Linked DNA regions of Xenopus tropicalis. The protein of the gene in region 1 interacts with the protein of each later gene in a pairwise test. Links are inferred from orthologs where the notes say so. Each region holds a gene or a part of one and is shown in the gene's direction. Other genes may lie near its edges.

Region 1 (3,654 bases):
GTATCATTTTGTGTTAGACTAATGTCAGACCAGGCGTATGGCATATATTTTCACGTATAGCCGAGCAAAGTCATGTGCCTGCACCCGAGCGTATTCCATTAATTCGGGTGCAGGCACAGGTAGGAGGCGTATGACTGTATTTTCGGCAAACGTTTTTGAGCTTGCCGAAAATATACCCCAAATGCCTGGTCTTACATTAGTCTTAAGTAATAGGGTCCATTACGTTATTTTATAAATAAAGGCAAATAATTATTTGCTGCAAGCTTGGCTAAAAAAGGTTTGAGTTGGTGAATGACACTTTGAATGAAAATTCTTGTAATCATGGGACACAGAAGTACTGTGATGTTGGTTCTTCTACAAAGAAGCAGGGCAAGTCATGCTGCAAGCGACCCCTTTAGGGTAATGGCACAAGTAGTATTTGGAAGGTAGCAAATTCCCTATTCTGTAACCTCAGTTGCCATCAATTATCTCTCAAAAAAGCTGAATTTCATGGTCCAGTGGGATAATTACTTAATGGTACACAAAAGCCAACTATAAAGCTGCGCCCACTTGTTTTCTATAGAAGGGGACAGATTTACATGGATCACCTGGGATTCTCATTGGAGGATTATTTTGCATTTAATGCAGCTGCAGGCGTGACTAATATTTAGTCCTGCAGCACCAGTATCTATGACAGATGTCACTTGACTTTCTGCTAATGTGTATATTATGTACACTTCTTCCTCACTTTTGCATTGCCAGGGGCCCCCTCTTTCATAACCTCGGAGCCACCTACCTACATTATTATTGCATATGTCTGTGCTGATTTCAGATGTTAAGAGAAAGAGTGATGGATAAATGGCTATACTTGCACATCAGCCTCTTTCCTGTGCTTATGAATGGAATCATGGTTCTTCTATTCCTGCAGCTCTCAGATCAGGTTCTGACTGCCGTGGAGGGTAACATGCTGTCTGTGGAACCAGTGGTGCAACCCATATTGCCTGTTGTCAAAGCTTCTGCAGTGGAACGTGGGGGACCCAGGTATTTGTGCTTATTAAATGTATTAGGGCACAAAATAGCAAATGATATGCAGGGCAACGTGTTTTCTACCCACACTGATTCATGGGACAAAATGCTTTCAGTTGGCCGCCATTCTCACATGAAAGCACTGGTGCCCTTGCTAGCCAGGTCATTGTTGGAAATATTGTTGGAAACATTGCAGTCAGCATTACTGACAAGCGAGTACACTTGCAGTTGCAGGCAATTGCCATACATGTGAATGGAGAGGCATTTAAAGTATTTTGTCCCCTACCCATGGAACTAGTTACTCACCCATGGCTGCGGCAGCAAAACACTCCCTATGTGCCACTGCCCTTAGTTTGCATGGGCCGCAACATAACTGTTTGAATGAACCCCGTTAATGTGAATATGTTATATAAGTTTTGAGTGCTGCTCATTCTGTGCAGCAGTGTTTATGTTCAGCCGGTGCATAATCAGTTTGTCTTCTTTGCATCTGTTGGGCCTATTCTCCAATTCCACCTAATGCAATCCACTGCTGCTTTAACAGTGTTATCCATGTCATTTAGCCAAAGAGTTACCACTCCCATATACAATGCATAGCGTGACCTCCTCCATGTTTTTCTCTCTCTTTCTTCTTTCCAGCGGGTGTCGGGTAGAGGTTGTAACGTAAGTGAGATGAAGCATAATTCTGCTTTAATTAACTCACTAATGACTTGGACTAATAAGAGAATGGCTTCTTAGGGCTGTCTTTAACCCAGTAACTGCAAGACTAATTTTAATGAAAAAAAAGCTTTATTTGTTTGCAAAGTGTCAGCAAAAACATGCAGAATACTGTATATACATTTATTTGTCCCTAGAAAGCATATCTTAGGTAGGGTTGCAACCTCTGCTGGCTTTTTCTCTGGGCAGGGGGCGGGCAGTGATGTCACGGGGAGGGCAGGCAATGACATCACAGTGGGCAATTGCCACATCAATCTTAGCGAGGCCTGCCTGGTTTTCCTTATGTGGAAAACTGGGCAGCCTGGTTTTTGGAAGGGCTGTCTGGGTCAAAACCCTAATAATAGGTCCACTGATTGTCATGGTATACTTGTGGATTCTATCTATCTGTTTGTCTATTTTTGGGCCCAGTACCGTTATACTGCTATAATATTTGGGGCCTTTTGTGATAAACTGCACCATATACTGCACTAAGTATTGGTCAGGGTCCCAGAATAACCGACCATCACTGCCTTGCATAAATGTACAATGTTGTGCTTGAACTGCAATTGCTGGGAGATACCTGGGGTCAAACCAGCCAACTGAATTCTAATTTTGTAAATGACTTGGACTAATGCTCTGGGTCACACGCGGTACAGGAAAAAAAAAACAAAACTGCCCGGCATATTTATACCAGTAAATACAGTATATTCCAGTATATACACAGAAGAATAATTATTTATAAGAAGCGATGGTCGAAATACAAACAGAATGGAGGGACAGAATACTTTAATGGGAAGATAAACAATTGAATAATGCTTTCTACTGAGTCACTATTGACCCACAGACCATAACACAGCAGTGTGAGTCAGTTCAGCAACATTAATGGGAGGCTGTGATTTAAAAAACACCCACCAAAGTGCGGGACATGTTTATTAAATCTATTTCTTGAATGCTCTTTATTTGTTTGGTTATTAAGCTCCTTCAGACTAACAATCCTCTCCCTGATGCAAACAACAACAACAACTGTATAGGTGTGGGATCTCTTATCCACAATCCTGATATCTAGAAAACCCCCATAGAATCCAGTGGGACTCCAGTTCTAAATTTGGTAATGATTTCCTTTTCCTCTGAACGACCCTGGTTTGCTCCATTAAAAGCTATGGTTATCATCACTGAATGCATCTTATTAATAAATATTAGTGTTTATTTATAGAGCCCCTTTGTACCTCTCCCCGCCCACCCCTCTTAGATATATTCAAGGGGCACGCATCTGAAAAAGAGCGCAGACCTGCGAATATATAAGAAATGATTAATACAATGTGCAAAGTGTTAGAAAATGCCTGATTTTTTTCACTTTGCACACTGTGCTGTTCAGTGGCGTAACTATAGAGGATGAACTGGGGGGGGGGGGAGGGGGGCGGTGGCGCCTTGGGGGACAGGGGGCTTAGACCGTGAGGTTTGCTTCCTCTATAGGAACCCCTAATTCCTGAGACCTAGTGGGCAGGGATGGGGGACATGAGGGGCAGGTGGAAATGTATGGAAATGCTTACATTGTGCACCACGACCCTCCAAAGAATTTTTTGCTTGTTTTTATTTCTTGTGTTTCTTGTTCCCTTTCTCACTATTTGTTGACTTTCACTGCAGGAAATGTGCACTCAGCGGCCTGTCTCGCTCCTGCCGCCATCGCATCAATCTAGGGGATTCTGGAAATTATTACTTCATCTCGCCATCCTGCCGGTACAGGGTGAGACACCCTTAGTTTACTATCTTTTTAAGAGAGGGCAACATTGTCCATTCTCTGTTTATCTAGCACTGAAATACTGCAGATGTTGAGGGGTGGTTACTAGGCAGCCATTACCACTGGGTCTGTCACTTGCAGGCAGGGTTATGTACTGTTAGGTATAAATGTTTGTGCTCATACCTGCTGAGGTATCAGCTAGTCTTCCATGTCACTGG
Region 2 (3,702 bases), on another chromosome or scaffold:
CTGGAGACCCATTTAATCTAGACTGTAAATTATCTCCATCTGTGTTAAAAGCAGTTCCAAAAAATAAAGCAGACACTTCTATCCAGAATGTTATAATGTAAAATGTTATACAGAACAGCATTAATGTATATAATCATTGTTGATATTTCATTAATAAAAAGTAATTGCTAATCAATTACATTTTTTCAAGCAATAAATGTGATATAAATCAAAATTTAGGTTCCACCGAGATTTGAACTCGGATCGCTGGATTCAGAGTCCAGAGTGCTAACCATTACACCATGGAACCGTCTATGAACACTTCACAACATACACCTTTAGAATTTTTCCATAGAGTTTTTCCTTCATATATCCTTATAATTATAGATATATTCATATTTGCATTGTCGGTTACTTTTCAAATAATCTCAGGTCCAAGTCTCCTCGTTTAAACACAATCTCTGTTTTTGTTCCACTTCTCACTGCGGCTGCCCAGCCCACCCAGCTTCAATCAAGGCCGCCATCTTACTACTCCCAACCCCTCGCCGACAGTGCAAGTAGGTGCGCACAAAGGCATTTCAGTTGATAAAACATGGGAAACGTGCAGCAACGTTGCTAGCAGCCCCTTTACTCATACATTAAGCACCTCCCGTTAGACATGAAAAGAAACATCTTGTTTGTCAGACTCGCACCATTGCGCTCAGTTGCCAGGTAACCCGGAAGTGACGGTTGGGCCGTTTCCGTGCAGGAGTGGGCGGAAGTGCTGCTCCTGTTTCTGGGAGGGGTTCGGACACTGCCGGGCTTCCTGGAGATCTGACGGTTGCTGCTGTTAGCCGCACATCGCGAACGTCAGAAGTACCGCGAGGATGGGTACCAGGGACGACGAATACGATTATCTGTTTAAAGGTAACCGGGGCTTGGGGGGCGACTGGCAGCCTCTGCTGCACACTCTGGAGGTTAAACCTCTCGGTAACAAGGATGTAGGCTGACGTTTATGGCGAGAATCACCGGCTGTGGTTGAACTTTAGGCTGTAGCCAAGCTATTCCCGCTCCAGCTGGAGCCTGTCAGGGCGGTGACACTGGGGCTGCTGGATTCCGTAAATGGAATAGTAGATACAGGGCTGGGAAGCCCAGAGTACATCGATCCAGGTTGTTACTGTGTGAATAGATCAGGTGATCAGGCTCCAAAGTGTGGGGAAGTGTTTTGGGGTCGTGAGTCAGTGAAGCATGGGAGGAAAGGAGGGTCAGTAGGGTGTTTGTGGCTACAAGGACAGGAAACCCTTTTCTTTTCTAGGGGAAGTCGTTGGGAAATAGAAATAGAAGGAAGTATCTGTGCTACATTTGCTACAGGGGCACAGAGACAACATTGTTTTTCTCCAGTGTTAATAAAATACGAAAGTCTGCCTGACAGCTGCCTTCCATCCATTGGATGGTGTTCAGTGAAACTCACACTTCCTTGGGTCATGTGACACATGTGACATCACTATGTGCCAGTTCTAACTCATGACCTCATAAAGCCTTGGCTATGAGGGTGTATTTAAGGCGGAATTCATGGCTTTTGGTGTTGTATTTTTATTAAAAGGGATTGATGATGTAGTGGGGTAATGAAGCAAAAGCATTTTAGGGTTCAGCTAAACTCTGGGAATATGGGGATACACTGTAACAGATTATCAGTCTGTGCCTAACTCCCCCCACCCCCCTGCAGTCCCAGACGTTGCTTTCCTCTGTAGTTGCACCCATGTCATTCTTGGGTGGTGGTAGGAATTGGGTGTGTAGTTCCTCTGTTTTACTCACTTAAGGTGTTTAACTTACTGAAGGTATATCCTTTAAGGGCAAGGAAATATCCCTGGGGAGGATGCTGAGTGATTCAGTTCAGTCACTTCAGACTCTGGGCCCTTCCCTCTCTTTAAAAAATGCAGCAGCCTGGGGTACTTTCCTTCTCAGTGTTGCACCGCCGCACTCTTCCAGTGCCCCAGAACCCTCTGCTCTGCCTGGGCAAGTTACAGGGTATGGCACAAAGCATTTTTGGACGAAGAAGAGACCTGGACTTGGGTTGCATTGTGTCCAGCTCTGCTTGCCCTTTATATCATCACATCTTCTCGCCACTTAGTTCTCGGGTTACCATTCTGTTTATTTGCTCAGTCACATACTTCTCTTACGTTGCAGCTGCCCAGTGTACAGACGAGCGCATTAGGTGCAGAATCTTCCCAGCAAATCCAGCCATTTCCACCACACTGTGCTTGGCCAATCTCTCTTAATTTGTTTGTGATGAAAGTTATAATTCAGCAACAACTGAACTGGGATCGGGATTGCACAAATTTTCCATTTAAGCTATTGGGATTTGCACTCTGTTGGCAGAAGCAGGATGAGAGTTGCTAATGGAGGTTACTAGTATAATTATTCACTGGGTTTGGGAGACATTATGGCATTAGCTGTACTTTCAGCTCTGCCAGGGTTAAACATTGGTGAGGCTGAGAAGATGGAGTCAGACTTTCACCCTGCAGGTTGTGTTTCGTTCAGGGTCAGTGGCTAAAGCACTGTTTGACCTCTCGCAAGTCTGGAATGCAGGGTGGGGTAGTGAGGAAAGCACAGGTCTGCACAGGATATTAATTCATCAGCCCCCACCTCCTCCTCTTTCTATCAGGATAGGACTCCCACTTGTCAGCTGGGCATTTTGCTTTGCCTTTATTATTTCTGTCTCTGAATCCTTCAGGCTTTTTGCCAAATCCTTGCTTATTTGATTTAAAGGGGAATTCCACCCACATGCTGGTATTTTTGCCCTTCATTGGGTAGAAGGGTTTGAGTGGAATTCCTTTTTATTTCCCAGAGGGCAAATTATTTAAGAAAAAATAGCTTTATGCAGAATTAGGTAAGTTGCTGTATATGAGGCAGTTTACACCCGTGGGCCAAACAGGCGTGGGGAATTAAAAAAGAAATGAAATTGCACTGTAATTGCCCTGGGATTACACATCCATTGGTTATGGTGTGTGTCTTGCTTAGATCTCAGCTTGTAGGAGCAGTTAGTGTAAGTGCTATGGCTATGCAGGAGGGTTTGGGGGTCTATGAATTCTGTATGTTCAGAGAAATGTTGCCTGGCAACCGCGTGTCATGGGGGCAGTTTGGGGCTCCTCAGTTTGTGATCTCGACCACCAGCATTAAATGCCGGTGTGCCAATGCCCTGTGCTGCCCGAGTTCTCTGGGCACTGTCACTGCGAACAGCACATACACTTGCACAAGGCTTGTGTGCAGATCATGGGAGACTTGACAAATAGTAGGTGTGGTAGGTGTTGGTGTTCCATTCACTTATCGAACTGGAAAACTCCCTTCTCCTTTACCCCCTCCCCAAAATGTAACCTGTTTTATTTGCAGGCCTCGTGCACATACATGTTTAATCCCAGGCAGGTTGGTAGGTTTCAGTTACTTGGCCTGTTTTACTCACAGCCCATTTGTACCCACTGAGCTTTATGGGGTGACCCAGTTTGCACCGCAGTGTAAGTCTTTTACTCTCTCCCTCTCTGGGTTTGACCTGAGTGGCACCTAAACCCATGTGCCTATAATAATCCTTCTCTTTATACTGGGTTATGTATGTACCATGCAGGCTTTCCTTGTGCCAGATGGGCACTGACCTGCATCCTCAGCTGGCTATATAGCTCTGCCAGTAACTTCCCTCGGGCACAGCTTTGTGGCATTCTCTCAGATTTCCTTGCCTGCTGTACTCGGCTC

The links. The genes of interacting proteins can lie anywhere in the genome.
Region 2: the proteins of rab3il1 (region 1) and rab11a interact in a two-hybrid assay, tested with the Homo sapiens proteins (2 studies listed by BioGRID and IntAct). The two-hybrid records come from large-scale screens. The link is inferred for Xenopus tropicalis from reciprocal best matches to the Homo sapiens genes RAB3IL1 and RAB11A.

Annotation. Positions count from the first base shown.
Region 1 is NC_030680.2:22,488,917-22,492,570, forward strand, and holds part of rab3il1 (guanine nucleotide exchange factor for Rab-3A), read left to right. Parts: intron 1-907; coding exon 908-1,020; intron 1,021-1,641; coding exon 1,642-1,665; intron 1,666-3,342; coding exon 3,343-3,442; intron 3,443-3,654. UniProt on the Homo sapiens protein: Guanine nucleotide exchange factor (GEF) which may activate RAB3A, a GTPase that regulates synaptic vesicle exocytosis. Promotes the exchange of GDP to GTP, converting inactive GDP-bound Rab proteins into their active GTP-bound form.
Region 2 is NC_030679.2:116,825,436-116,829,137, forward strand, and holds the start of rab11a (ras-related protein Rab-11A), read left to right. Parts: upstream 1-795; 5' UTR 796-845; coding exon 846-885; intron 886-3,702. UniProt on the Homo sapiens protein: The small GTPases Rab are key regulators of intracellular membrane trafficking, from the formation of transport vesicles to their fusion with membranes.